Drosophila melanogaster: one gene and its partners. The protein of the gene in region 1 interacts with the protein of each later gene in a pairwise test. Each region holds a gene or a part of one and is shown on either strand. Other genes may lie near its edges. The genes, in order: Cpr92A, Sar1 and CG1116.

Evidence for each region.
Region 2: the proteins of Cpr92A (region 1) and Sar1 interact in a two-hybrid assay, tested with the Drosophila melanogaster proteins (one large-scale study listed by BioGRID).
Region 3: the proteins of Cpr92A (region 1) and CG1116 interact in a two-hybrid assay, tested with the Drosophila melanogaster proteins (one large-scale study listed by BioGRID).

Annotation. Positions count from the first base shown.
Region 1 is NT_033777.3:19,596,794-19,600,824, forward strand, and holds Cpr92A (cuticular protein 92A), read right to left. Parts: upstream 2,163-4,031; 5' UTR 2,042-2,162; coding exon 2,033-2,041; intron 1,699-2,032; coding exon 970-1,698; 3' UTR 709-969; downstream 1-708. Other genes in the region: CG7333 (uncharacterized protein), read left to right, coding at 3,881-4,023.
Region 2 is NT_033777.3:22,354,936-22,361,211, reverse strand, and holds Sar1 (Secretion-associated Ras-related 1), read right to left. Parts: upstream 4,528-6,276; 5' UTR 4,414-4,527; exon of another isoform or gene 4,165-4,413; intron 3,696-4,164; exon of another isoform or gene 3,682-3,695; 5' UTR 3,584-3,681; coding exon 3,541-3,583; intron 2,841-3,540; coding exon 2,721-2,840; intron 2,650-2,720; coding exon 2,584-2,649; intron 1,688-2,583; coding exon 1,452-1,687; intron 1,376-1,451; coding exon 1,259-1,375; 3' UTR 501-1,258; downstream 1-500. Other genes in the region: JMJD6 (jumonji domain containing 6), read left to right, coding at 1-143; rdhB (retinol dehydrogenase B), read right to left, coding at 5,087-5,263, 5,385-5,520.
Region 3 is NT_033777.3:5,217,591-5,222,305, reverse strand, and holds CG1116 (uncharacterized protein), read right to left. Parts: upstream 2,650-4,715; 5' UTR 2,600-2,649; coding exon 2,451-2,599; exon of another isoform or gene 2,391-2,450; coding exon 2,173-2,390; intron 2,108-2,172; coding exon 1,836-2,107; intron 1,771-1,835; coding exon 1,621-1,770; intron 1,558-1,620; coding exon 1,015-1,557; 3' UTR 758-1,014; downstream 1-757. Other genes in the region: CG2604 (uncharacterized protein), read left to right, coding at 1-467; Prosbeta2R2 (proteasome beta2 subunit-related 2), read left to right, coding at 2,870-2,961, 3,356-3,535, 3,601-4,297.

The DNA of each region.
Region 1 (4,031 bases):
CAGCACTTTTGTATGGTATATCAGCCTAAAGACCCTTAGTTTAAATAATCGTACACATCAAATCAATCAGACGGATAATGATAGACACAAAGCCCCGAGCTTGGCAACTAATCGTTTTTGTTGGAATAGAAGCTTCGAAATTAATTTAGTGGTAGCAGGCATGACTCAATTGTACCTATCTTTTGATACCGTTTATTACAAAACTAAGGACTATAATCGTATTTAAATTGTATACCTAATCGAGTGCAGCGAGACCAAAACGCACTCTGCACACTGATGAACTTTTGAAGTCGGCTGAGGAGTACATAAATTTATATCGATATCGAAAACATTTCAGTATGTTCTACGAATGGTAGCTCATAGAACCTATTAAACATAAAACATAATACATAAATAATAACACATTATGCATTGTAATAAACTTATTTATAACATACGGTGACATACTCGAAACGTTTATATACAACACACATATACATATTTATACATAATCAGAAATTATACATATGAGATATGCCACATACGATATCATATAACATATACATATATGAACCATTGCGAAAAGTTGATACAATAAATAAAACACTCATCAATTGCGTTAAAACGTTGTTTTTTAAATTATTTAAAAACTTTTTGTGGGACTATTTTCTTCTTGGCTTCGGAACTTCAATCTAATAGTTTCTAGGGAAGACCGCAAACAAATTTGTTAGGTTTTTCAATTCTCGTTTTATTTCCTAGACTAACCATTCAACAACATTTTCTTAAAGACGTGTACATAGGCTAGGGGTAACTTAGAATCAATCTACATGTTGGATCGGTATCAAATCCCTCGAAGAACACAGAGTAAGAGATTGAGAGTACAGCGTTTGGCACAGATATAGCCGGAGTTTCAGTTTTGGGTCAGTGTAAGCTGCGTGCGATAGATGAAGTCGAATCAAATCAGATCAGATAGTTGAGAACCTTGGTCCCTCAGTGATGGTAGTAGGCATGGGGTTCCACTGGAGCGGGGGCCGGACCTGGAGCCGGATAGTGGGCATAGGGGCTGTGCGCCAGGGCGGGATAGGCGGCATGGAAGTGGGCGGAGGGCAGGACTGGAGTAGCCACTGGCACAGACACCGGAGCTGGAGCAGGAGCGGGAGCGGGACCTGGTGCAGGAGCGGGAGCACCACGGTGGTAAGGTCCTAAGGCAAGAGGATACGAAAGCAGAGGAGCCTTGGGCACCGGCGGAAGTGGAGGCGCCGGAGCTGGGCCGTAATGAGCTGGTACTGGAGCGGGTGCAGGTGCGACGACGGGTGCCAGGTGGGCTGGTGCCTTGTAGGCCAGCGGCTCCTTGCGGACCACCGCATTGAATCCGTGATGGGGATCCGCTGTGTAGTCAACGGTGCGTTTGGTTCCATCCGGATCCACAACCGAGTAGCTGCCCTTCACCACATCTCCGTGGCGCGTCTCGTGCTGTGACTTCAGGTCACCAGTATAACCATCCTGGATGTCGTAGCCAAAGGAGTACTTCGGGTCGGGATCGTAGGGTTCGGGAGCAGCCGGCTTGGGCGCCACATAGGGACCTGGCAGGGGCCCATGCTGCGGTGCATATCCTCCATAGTGGTGCAGAGGTCCGGGACCAGCTGGACCGCCATAGTATGGTCCGGGTCCAATCACGCCCGCATAGGCGATGCCGAGCATGGCGCTCAGCAGGGAAATCTGAAAAAAAAATTAAAAGAAAATGTTGAAAGCGATTAAATTGAAATAAGCTTTAAGTAATATGAGGACAGGGAAGAATTGTTTAGAATAATTCTTGGCAATTAAATTTAATTTAAATCAAATCACATATTAACTCGGATCATTCGACGGGTTTCATTAGGACTTAAACTATCTTCTTTATGCACTAATTTTCTTTGTATGAATAAAATATAAGCTTTTAGTAATAGGAACACTTGGTTAATTCATCTTGGCATTCCCCTTGAGAATATGTTAAATCGGCTTAAACTTGATTGTCCAGACTATAAGAGCACTTTGGTATCCTTTGTTTTCACACCTTCAGCATAACGATGTCCTTGCAGGGGTATCCTTTCCACTCGCTCACAGTTGTCACAGACTCAGCAGACACCACACGTAGAGAGTGGCCGGAGTATTGTTGGTTTCGACGACGATCGCGCTAGAAGAAGTAACCAAAACTGCAAGCGTTCGCTGGAAGTTCTGGCCATTTATACTGGCAAACGGCGGCAAATGTCGCCTGCTTCACATGGCGCAGTCGAGGCAATAAACTAATTTCAGATCAAGAGAGACCCGGCCAGACGGAGTCTTCGGTGTCTTGGGCCAGCGATCAAGCACATGGCGCGGACCAGTACTGCGGAGCCACGGGGGCGGGGATTGACTCTTGCCCACCTGGCGGCAAATCGTGTGCCTGGCTTCAACTTTGGCGCAGTTATCGTGTCGACTTAGAAAGGTTATTCTTCCGCTAAACCATTTAAAGGGTCCCCAGACCCCGGAGCCAATCCAACCCGAGCTTTGCCCTTTCACTTTTGCGACGTTTACGATTCGTTTTCGATTCGCTTTTCAATACCCGCTTGGACACCGACTTTTGGCAATTATGTGAAAATTTATTTTGCCGCACACAATTGAAATGTTACATTAACATTGGCTGGATGTTAGGATATGCTGCATTTGGCTGCCGCGTAATTAGCTAAGAAGAACAAGCTGCACCGGGCGATGTTGAGGTTCCATATGAAATGGCAGTTGCAGCGCATGCGCAAAAGGTCAGGTGGTCCACAATTGAATTAAGAGTGCCTGGAGTGGGCCCAAAAGCCAGAGGCTCACCGAAGAAGGGGGGCGGAAACAGGGGCGACTGGCTCGCCACAACAGCCTAATAAAGCAAAAGGTCAACGCGCTGCTGTCGGCACATTAGTCTGGCCCACAGACCAGGCCAAACAACCACTTGCAGTCTAGGCAAATAATGTCATTAATAATACCCTTCAAAAAGTGGCATGACGACTATATAAGGTTACTCATGACTGATCCTTCAGCTGAAGACTGGTTTTCTGTTTGATCTTCCCCTTAAATGGTTGCTACGTAGCGGAGATGCTAAAAGCTGACTATGATAGGACACATTGTAATAGGAATACTGATCAGTTACATAGTTTATAATCAATGATAAACTTGAGATAATTTCTGGAAGGACCAAAAAAGTTTGCAGCTAGTTCCTAAGAGTGCCTGATTAGCCAAAAATACCCTTTCCAGCCTCTAACGACCAAGTGTCTGCGACAATTCTCATGTTTACCGTTTTGTGAGCTTAATTTATGGCTGCAAATTTGTATCTGGCATCTGGAAAACTATTGACATCTGCATGCATTGTCTTACCCTTGCTGTTACCATCGGGCCTGTTTATGCGACAACTAACTATAACAAAGAATCAAAGTCGTGCCAACCGCCGGGCCAGTCGATGTCAGCTGTTTTAACTATTTTTAGCCAGAAGATCAAAGCAATTGATCAACAAGAATGGCAGGCTAATGCTACAAAGTTGCCAATATGGCTGAATGGAAAATCTAGTCAATAATGGATTAGTTAAGCACAATATTGGTATGTATGTAGGTATTTTAATTGCAAAAATTTTGTTTCGACAAAAACTTACGCGATAGATGTGACATCTCCTGTAGATATTTTCCCAATTACAGGGCTCACAGCTGGCAAAACATTTGACGGTATATCTGTAATTTTAAAACCCATCCAGCTGTTTTAGCTTTATGAAACATATTGCCTAAAGCCGCTAAAGATAAATTTATGGCTATTCCCAGCGCAGTTTAATTTAGCTTCTGGTCAGTTCTCAAAGGGAGTTGGAAGTAGTCAGTCGCTTTGGAAATTTTTTATGTCATCGAAGCAACGTCTGATGGATTTCAGTCAGGTTCTGGATAAGTGTGGAAACTATGGCAGGTTCCAGGTGATGATCCTTTTGCTGTACGGCTACACAAATATTCTTGGATCACTGCACTACTTTTCGCAGACCCTTATCACCTTCACACCAGAGCATTGGTGAGTGT
Region 2 (6,276 bases), 2.8 Mb from region 1:
CGGAGGAGGAGGAGAGCGACGATGGCGGCGATTCCAACACGGACAGCGGCCAGGAGAGTCTGACGGCCAAGAAGAAAAAGAAGCGGCGCATGGCTGGCGGCGGCTCCGGGTCCGGCTCCATGGGCGGATCATCGCGTTCCTGATCCAGGGAGCGGGCCAAGCGCAAGGGCTTGCTCATGCGCCTCTTTCAACGCCAACTGATGCTGCTGAGAGGACTGCCCCGCCGCTGCCGGCTCAGTTAGCACTGAGGTCGCGATCATACTCTGCAGAGTTTTGTGTATTTTTCTACTTGGACCAGCATGTTTGCAGCTCCTGGATCCCGTGCTCGCCCTCATCGAATGCCTGCTCCCTGATTTCAATAGATGCTCCGGACGTGACTCATTAGCGTAAACCCTAAATGCAAATAAATAAATGAATCCAATATGTTTGTACATCGCTGGGTTTCATTCAAGCTCGGCACATAAATCCAATGCAAAACAACAATAGTCACCAATTTATGTATTTTACAAAATTACTTTTCTCCGTTTTATTTAGAATTCTGTCTGCAAACAAAAATGCTTTTTTATATAAATTGCTTTCCCTTTCGTATTGTATAAAAGAAACAAAGTACATCGATGACATGCAACTTAAAATTTTTAGCTAAACTAAGGTGTACCATTTATCGGAGGTCGAATCCTTATAGGGATGTACATAATGTTTTGCGGCCAAAGTAAACTATTTAGGAAATCAATAGCGACATTTACAATTCATAAACTTGAAATAAAGGTAGGTGGCTACATTTTATTGGCGAAACAGCGTTCGTTGAAAGCACATGCTCTTAAATAAATCACCTTTAATTTGCTATAATTTGTTACTCATAATTATTATTAAAAGTTTCCCTTGCGCACTCCGCGCATCCTTCAGCTCCTTACAATGTATCCCGATGTTCCAGATAGAAAAGTTGTCTTCACTTTGATGTTGTGTTCTGTTTTTCCCGCGATTTCTTGTGTGTTACAGATGTACATTGTATGGTTTTCTGTTTTTTTTTTTTTATTATTATGAAATATTTGTAATTGTTTTGTATAAATTAGAAATTGCGCACGCAGCTTCGTTTTGCTTAAGGTCTGACGGTTTGAATTGGGCTGGGTTCACATCCCTTGGGTTCTGTTCTTTCTGCGGTCTCTAATCATTTTTGGAAATTTTGTAGCCAAGTTTTCGGTTTTGAGTGTTGAGTGGTGTTCTTGAAAATATGGTGCTGGTGGTGGTTGCTAATGCTGACTTAATCGATATACTGCGCCAGCCAACGGAAACCCTCGCCGTAGCCCTGTCGCTTCAGCACGGAGCACATGAACAATTCCAGAGGACGGCCGGGCAAATCGGCGCGTGCAACTTTGCCCTGCAAGTCAAATGGATATCAATTATGTAGCAGGAGTAAGGAGGGAGGGAGGGAGGGAGGTGGTTTTGGTGCTCACCTTGCCGGTTGTTAGCTGATACAGTCCGAACACGTTTCTCAGCTCATCCTCGCTAGCCGCGCCGGGCTTATCGATTTTGTTGCCCAATATGAGCACGGGGCAGTTGGACAGCGCCTCATCCGTGAGCAGCGAATCCAGCTCGTTTTTGCTCTCCTGGAAGCGGCCACGGTCCCAGGCGTCTATTAAGAAAACGATGGCGTCCACAGCAGGGAAGTAGTCCTTCCAGACGCGTCGTGCTGCAGAAATAAGTAGATATGTCTCATAAATACAAAAGCAGCAGTTAGTCTTTAGATGGGTTAGTCTTCCGATTTTTGAATCAAGATTTGCAAGGGCACCTTAGTAGTCGCTGCTGTTGACCAACAATCTGTAATTTATATAACATCGCTAGAATAACAAAGCGCAAGTCACTGATATCAGGCACAAATCTGATATCTTTCCGCCGCTAAGAACCTTTCTACTTTAGTGTACCTAGTAGTTCCGAAGCGAAAACGATCGTCACGATGACGAGCTGCCTTAAAATGAGTGCTAGAGCTTCGTTATCAAAACAACTGGATTTCACGATGTTTGATCACTTTTCATAATGTTCATATTTATATACATATATCAACTGCATGTATGCGAGTTTTTCGTTTCTGTTTGTTATCTACATAGAGAATGTTTGCCTTCATAATATTAATAATAAATACGTCGCCTATATGTGCACAGTGGTAAGGAAGATAGTATTTGCGAAAATCAACAAGACACTAATTGCTTTCTAAACATAAATGAACATATTGATTGTATGCAATGGGTTAAATATTCTAGTATTCTGAGGTCTTCATAATCACAGTTGAGATAAGATGATAATTGAGATCTCTGGATGAGCTGCTTGTGACCACTGTGGTGGCATTGCTTCGAGTGTGTGGCGCTGATTGATCGCAACAAATGCTACGAGTGTAAGACGCACTGGCTGTATGGGTGACCTGATGCGCTATATTTCATGCTGATTGTCGTGGATCTGGCGGCTGCGCTTGCTTAGCCCTGCGATATTTGCATACTGGTCTATATTTAGTCGTGGGCACGTACGGAAAATAGCAACGATTTGGATGCACATTCACATTCCCCTGAGCTCTGGTCAAGATTAGGCACTTACCCTGAGTGTGGCCACCCAAGTCGAATGTAGTGAAGCGCATGTTGCCGATGGACAGCTCCTCGGATGCTGCAAGTCAATCATATTAGTTAATTAAAGTCACACACATAACCACTATTTAGTCCATGAAGGAAACTCACTTGGATGCAGTGTGGGCACATGCTGCGCCAGCTTATCATCTTTGAGCATATGCAAGAGTGTGGTTTTGCCAGCATTATCCAGGCCCAGGAACAATAATTTGCCAGACTTTTTCCACAGACCTGAAAACGAGAAAGTGTGTTGAATAGCCTTTTGACTTACGCGTCATCAATTAATATACGCAGCTAAACTAACACTAGTGGCGGCTCACTTGTGTTTGCCCAGCCACAGACAGCCGAATATACATTTGAGGTCGAGACAATAGCTCTTGGACTTCGGGCTAATTATTACCTTTGCTACCCAAAATGTTCGGCTATCATTAACCTGATTAAAGATCAAGCTATAACAAAAATGCGCTTATAACAACTGCTATCAGTTTGGCCTGCACTGTAGAACAGTACTTTTCGTATGGAATAATTTTAACTTTTAGCATTACAAAGCAAATAAAAGTGTAGCAGCCATCTGGAAGCGAGGAAAACCCTATCAAAAATGTCTGCTTAAATAATTGTGGCTGAAGAGTACATGGCTATGCAATCAAAATACCTTTTACAGAAGTGTATATTGTATATGCACCCTAGAGTAATGCATATTCAACGCGCATTTGTTGTGATAGAGAGACCTAATGGAAAGTTATAAGCTTTCGACACCTTATAGACACAGTTTAACCTCTAGATTTCGAGATAATCGCACGTTTAGAGCTATCACCACGACCTCCGCTGTACAGCCGTCGAATTTGGGTTTCTTTTGTGCGGCTGCCTTGTTGGCACTCGTTCAAGAAACGCCGCCCCAAGGCACAAGGTCGGCAATGGCGACGTTGCTTACCCAGGTATCCCAGCACTCCGGTGAACCAGTCCCAGATGAACATCCTGATGGTTTCGTGTGGCTATCGGTTGCGGGTGATTGGCTCCAAGAGCAGCTTGTGTGTGTTTATTGTGGGGGGAAGAGAGCTGCTGGGCTAGACGGCTGCCGGATCGAAAAGAGATATGGCATGGATAATGGGTTAGTGCGCATTTCGACTCAAGTTCAATGTCCAGCCACAGAAACACAATAAGAACAACAGCAGCGGCAGCAACAGCGGCTTGGTGTATAGGAAATCAATTTTACGGCGGCTCAACTTCCGGAACCTTGACACACATACAACAACACGCACACTCGAGCGGCGGGGACCTTGCGGATATAAGGAAGCAAATTCCTCCTGGCGGCGAAACATTCACTTGGGCCCATTATTTAGTTAATTAGGTTAAAACCTGTTCTTTGTCAACTGGGCAGCACTTTCTTTATTTCATTCTTTCTCTGCCTCCTGCCCTCTCGCTCGCTCACTGTCTGTGTGTGTGTGTGAGTGGCACTGGGTGTGCGCGTGTGTGTGCGTGTGCTGCCTGTCTGTGTGCAACTACGTGGTAACATGCATTATATTATACTTTATAATATCATTTCACGTTGGAGCACATTTCGTAATCACACTTTGGACGGCAGGTGCACGCCGATCTAAGCCGCACCCTCGAAAAAAGCATAAAAAGGGCGCAGACATCCGGACTTCCGATTCGAATTCGAATTGAGATTCGGATTTTGCACTACGTGGACGCATTTCGGAATTTAACTGCCCGCGGCTGCGGGTAGCTTGCGTTTGATATGGACTTTTACTTGCGCACTTGCTGTTGCCGCCGCGCGTTCGTATCGGTATTGGCGGCTGGTTACCGTGCGTCTGCTGTGTGTATTAATTGTCAACCTAATTCGCTTTTTCTACCTCACGTTTTTATTGGAGTCAGTTCAGTTTTTTTTAATCATAAGCCCCAGTGTGACCAATAAGCGAAAGCTGTGAAATATCGATGTTTGTTTCGTACCATCGATTTTGGGGGTAGCACGAGTAATCGATGTTTTGGTGGATAACTCTGCTAGAGCGAAGCGAGCCAAATCAAGAGTGGTTGTTGTACTCGCTAGCGATAGCTGTACAGCCCTGGTCTTTTGACTCAATCTGGCAGCCCTACCGCAAGGTGGCAACTCCACTACATGCGCGGGCAATTCCAATTCAAATGAATGAATGTATAAATGCATTCATAATGTTGCCAAACTATTTACACGCATTTAATGTTATATCGATTAGAGAATATGCAAAATATTATAAATGTTTAATTATCGTTTTATTGCATTTTTATGTTATTTGTAATAAGATGTTAATACAGATGTTATCTACAGATAACATCTTAAAGAATATAAAGTGTCGAAACAGTTGCTTGAAATGCAATAATGTAATTTTTTATATTTAAAAATATGTACATTTGTTCTCTTATTACATAGAAGAACATATACAAAATGTACAAATAATATCGTTTTGGGTAAAATGTAATTCTCTTGAAATTCAAACTAAAATTCAATCGACCTTCCGCATCTGCTGCAGGATGATGTCCTCCACCTGGACGCCATCGGGAGTGTTCAGCGCATACAACACGGCCTTGGCCACATCCCTTGCCTGCAGTTTGGGCAGCTCGGCTACCGCCTGCGAGTAAACACTAAGGAAATCCGTGTCTACCATGCCCGGGCAAATGCTCTGCAATGGAGGGATAAAAATGGAGAGGGTAACCAATGAGCAGACGCGTCATGTTTGCCGCATTTCCCGAGGATTAAGATGGAGGATGAGGCGCGCCATGTATGCACTGCATTTAACTTACCGTTAATTTAATATTTAATTTGAGAAAATGTATTTCCTGGCGCACCGTTTGGCAGAGGGCCGTAATTGCATGCTTCGTGGCCGGATAAACGCTGAATAAGGGCACCGGCACTTCCGGAATCCGATGGCCAAGCACGCTGTTGTCAAATGTTGTCCATACACATGTCCAGAGCAGAGCGAAGGAGGAGGCGGAGGAGTAGCATGAGCATCGTCCACATGCCAAGGTATGGCGGTGCGTCGGGGATGGAAAATAAAGACAAAGCGGGGTCACAAACGGCGGGTGTGCGTGGGTAAATAAAGTCAACACAACGGATTTCAAGCACTTAAAACGGCAACAAAAAACAAGTCGCCGTCGAACACCTACGGAAAATGATGGTCAGCAGCTGACGGGACATTTTTGCGTGCATTTTATGCAAACATTGCGTAAACTTCTTTTAATTTTACCCCCACACCTGACGAAAAAGCAAGAAAAGACTTAAAAACTTGTGCTATAATATTTTGATTGAATGCGAAATTTTTGGAAAAATAAGGGAATTATAAGTTACAACTAGTTTTTATATTTGCTACAAGATATTTAATTTAATTAAACTGATATTTTTATGAAGGCATTCATTCGAGTATCCTTTTTTTCGAGTGCATTTGGAAGAGCACGGGGTGGTACTTACGGCTCTGAGCCGGGGGCATTAAATGCAAACAATTGCCAACGTTGCTGCAGATGCTGGGCGGCCGGCATACCCTTGCAGTTTTTAATTAATTAAGTCTTAATATTATTGCACTGACATTAAGCGAAATGCATATGGACGACCGCCCAACTTCCACTGCCCACCTGTCAAGCCCCTTGACACACACACAGACACAGGCCCCCCGAAACGTCACATGCTCATTAGCAACGC
Region 3 (4,715 bases), about 14 Mb from region 1:
CGTCTTGGCTGGTCGCCGGCGGTGTCATCTTTTTTGCCACCATCTTCGGTCTGCTGTCAAAGTTCAAGCTGGGACGTACGCTGCTGCTCAATTACCCCGGTCTCTTCTCCGGCGGATTGGCCTCTCGTTCCGGCCCAAGTGAGGAGTCAATGGAGCGCACCTATTTCAAGATGACTTTTAAGGCCAGTGGCTGGCTTAAGAGCGATCGCCTGGCCGAGAGTTCAAACCAATACACGGAGTCCCCGACCAAGACGCTGATGGTCCGCGTATCGGGCATGAATCCCGGATATGGAGCCACCTGCGTGGCTGTGCTCTCAGCGGCACTGACCATTCTTCGTGAGTCGGACAAGATGCCCAGCACAGGCGGAGTGCTGCCTCCAGCTGCCGCCTTCTCTAAGACCGGACTAATTAGCGAGTTGGAGAAGCACGACCACGGCATCAAGTTTGAGATTCTGGCCAACAAGTAATGTCCAGAATCGCACTTCTCCCTCCCAGCGGCTCTCTTTTAATCACCTTACTTGGCTGTTTGTTACTCGCGGTTTGAACTGTAATTATATAAGCACTTATTAAACTAACCCCCACATCCGCTGCTGTTGTTGCCGATTTCAAAGTCCAGGCGAAACGGGTTAGATCTAATTCAGTGAATTTTGCACCTCAGAATAAATTAAGATGCGAAAAACAGATTTTCCTACCTTAAAATGTAAATATTATCTTGGCTAACATCGCCAGGTGCAAGTCGCTATGAACATGACTTTCTGATTTCAAGCGGTTTGATTCGTATATTCGACTAAATTTTAATTAAGATTTTTGTATTTTACAAAGACGTAAGAGGGGATTGGGTTTCAGAAGTTTTTAAAAGGAACCGTAATCGACTTGTTGCTTTCGTTTGCTCTTTCTAAACGGCCTTATATAGCCTTAAAAGTGAGAAACCCTTTGGATTAGTTCTCCAATATATTAATACAATACTTCTTACTACTTACTTCCATCAAGAGAACACAGTTAACTGAAGTGCTATTACTTTATAAGCAGGTTGAATGTCTGGTTTGGAGCATAAATCTGGAGAGGATTCGCAGCGTAGACGGTCACGGGCAGATTCCATACCATCGTCTCCACGGGCATTTCAGACGGTGCTTTTAGCTCGCCGGACTCCGGATTCGGAATGCCAAAGTCAATCAAAGTTGTGGTCACAAACTCGAAATGCAATCGCCATCGCACGTCGACGAGGTCTGTGCGGAATGTGGGTGTTACGTGCAGCGGAATGGGTACCACGACCTGGGTCTGCAGCGTTGCGTAGCACACTTGGTGGGAGGTGGAAATGGTCGAAAGTTTCCCGGTTGGCTCAGGCGCCTCCTTAACCTTTGAGCTAGCCGATGTGGCCGACTTGTGGAGGTTATCTGCCAACACTCCGCTAGCTATGCTGGCCATATCAAAGGAGTTCATCGAGGAGACATCATCGCCCGTCGAGGATTGCGACTGCAGCTGGTGATTTTGCACTGGTTGCGGTCGGATGGAAAGCTCCTGCTGCTGCAGCTTTACCGAAAACTGGACGCAGCGCACCTGGTAAGATGCAGTAGGATTTTAGAAAGCGCATTATGAGTAATGACAAAAAAAATCACCAACCTTTCGGGGGTTAACGCCGGGATCAAAGTCCAGGCTGCCCACAATGTCCTCACCGAGCTTATACGCTGGCTTGAACAAACAAAAGCGGCCAACGAAGCCGCGTTTGTTCGAGATGCGGTAGAACTTCGGCGCCCGCCGAGCGGTTACGTTCTGAAAGACACAGAGCAGAGGACATTGACAAGGTACAGCTGCTTATGGGATCTAGATTTCCTTGCCTTAAGGTGGTGCCACGATATCTCAAGCTCGCTGATCTCGCGCTTTTCCAGGAACGGATTAGTGGGCGCCAGCTCTTCGTTGGTCTCTACGGTTACGGGAAGTTCGTCGGGCCGCGAAATTATGGGAATTGGCAACACCCGGATGGGAACGGCCAGCGTTTGCACCTTGGACTTGACCCGTTGCGTAGCAATGGTGATCTTGTAGAAGTACCGGATGTTGTGGCCTCTGTACGTGGGTGGGCCATCGCGGGGAATGAATTCATTGAAAAAGTCTGCAAGGCGACTTGCTCGTTAGTAAAACCAAAAAGCTAAGAAGTAGGGCAAGCTCATCACTCACACATCTTGGTCTCTCCAGGCTGGAGGCGCAGGTCGCAGAAGAGGATCTTGGGCTTGGTGGCCACAATCACCTCTCCCGGCGCCTGCGTCACCGCATCCAAAGCCGTCCTGCCGATCATCTCCGTGAGCTCCGCGGCTCGGTCGCCCGCGGATGTAGAGTAGCTAGTTTTCCGGTAGCAGTGCAGCTGCGCCGAGGCCCAGGCCAGGTTCTCCTGGCTTCTGGTCGGTTTTGCATGGTGAATCAAGGGAAGAAAAACAGTTAACAACAGCTCGGCTCACCTTGCTTCGTTGGCATTGTGGACAGCCTGCGACGCGGCTGGCTCGTCGGAGAACACCTTGTGGGTGAACTCGATCAGGCACTGGACTCTCTCGCCCGTGGCGTAGATGGCCGAGTCCGCACGCAGCAGTTTCGCCTTAATTTCAATCATTTATTTACTTTTTTATTTGGTCGCGACTCCCGTAGAGTGACCGTCTGCAGGAATTGTTCGATAGGCCCGCCGATAGCGATAGCAGCCGTGCGCGTACGCCAACCACTTTTTAAATGTCCCACCTCTGATAAGTCGTGTTACTGAATTTAAATTTTCTTTTTACTCTAGCAGAATCCCAGGTAGGCCTTGGGTATAAGCTCGAAACATTGTCATTGCTGTCGCGCACGAGAACAACCAGTATTCAGCTATATTTTATAAAATCCACGCATTATGTTCAACGGCTTACCAACCTTGATGAAATACCCAGACCGATCGCCTTTTCTGTGCGGTCCCAGCGGATTTACATTCGACAATTGTCTGCGGTGAGTTGGAACACAGTTACACCTAATGGCCAGCAAGCCATATTCAACACCCAACCTTTTACAAACCAACCTTATTCAACGAATGACAAAGGAAAACATTTCGTTTGTTAATAATTAGTTGGTTAATAGTTCTAGTGGCACAACTTTGTTGAAAAAAATTGGGTAAGCCCGCTCTTTTGAAAAATGAATCAATTCATTGCCCATTGATACACGAGATAAGCATTTTGGCTCCCCTAAGATTCACCGAATTCCCATTTGGTTGAAAGAGATGGCATTTAGGTTTGCCAATGTTTGAATCGCAATATTTAATAAAGAGTTGCTGACACGGGGTATCTTGTAGTGCAGCCACTTCGCTGTGGCGACTTTTGCTTATGTGTTCAATTCTCGTCCGCAGCAACAAACAACTAAAAGAGAATGGCCTTGAGGAGCCGAATAGCTTTACTACTGGCACCACTGTGGTGGGCATCGTGTTCGACGGCGGAGTAATCATAGGCGCCGAGTCCAGGGCTACCAGCGGCGGCATAGTTTTCTCAAAGACGTGCCGCAAAATTATTGAGCTGCAGGCCAACATTTTGTGAGCATCTAGCTATCTATGAGTACGCCATAGACATAATATAATGGTACCTTGAAACCACACAGTGCCGCGGGAGCTGGAACCGCTCGGGACACGAAAGCCCTGGTGGAACTGACGCGGGCGCAGCTGGAGCTTCACCGGATGAACACTGGGTTCCGCAAAGTGCCGGTGTGCTGTGCCAACCAGATGATACGGCAGCTGCTGTTCCGTTTCAACGGGAATATAGATGCCGACATGATCATAGGCGGCGCGGATAACACCGGAGCGCATCTCTTCTGCACTCGCAGCGACGGCTCCACGGACACGGCGCCCTTCACGTCCATCGGCTCCGGCTACCAGGTATCCATGTCCATCCTGGAGTCACGGTGGTCGGAGGACCTCTCCGAGGAGTCCGCCTGCGCCCTGGCTTGCGACGCCGTGGCCGCGGGCATGAAGAACGACCTGTGCTCCGGAGGCAAGGTCAGCCTCTGCGTCGTGCGCTGCGACTTCTCGGTGCAATGGCCCGAGCAGCTCCCCCGCCAGGTCCCACCAACTCGCACCTATCGCCTGTCACCCAAGCCCGGCCGAACCACCATTCTATCCACCTTGGTGCATCCGGTGCTTTCGTGGCGGGGCGCCCTAGCTCTGCCCGAGCCAGGAGGTAGCCAGGAGCCAGGGCGAGGACCAGGCACTAGTGGTGCCGCCAGAGGGCAGGAGGCCCCGCGCAGATCCAACAGTCTGGACGAGCCGGAGGCCAAAAGAAAGAAACGCGGAGGGAGATAGGACCCGGCTTGGGTGATCCTCAATATCCTTACCACAAATTTCTTGATTGGTCGTAAGCGTTTAGTGAGTTACCGTGATTTCAAACTTTCCATCTGGAAATTGAAGCTTGTTGCGTTATCTTGTGCAAATTACACATTTTTTGTTTCGAGCACGACCTTCCACCAGGAGGAAAAGAGCTCTGTTACCCGGATATTTGTACGTAGATGGATTAAATCAAATTAAACCAAATTATTTAAAATCCAAATAAACCAAATTATCAAAAAAGGTTTTCAGAAGATTAAAGGCCGCGAAACAAGCCCTAAAACTGTTTTCCCGTCAAAAAGGATCTATCTGCTATGACATAAAAAATTAAAATTTTTAAATAAAGTAAAAAATACGTAAGAGAATGGACAAAACAAATCTAAAAATTTGAAAAAGT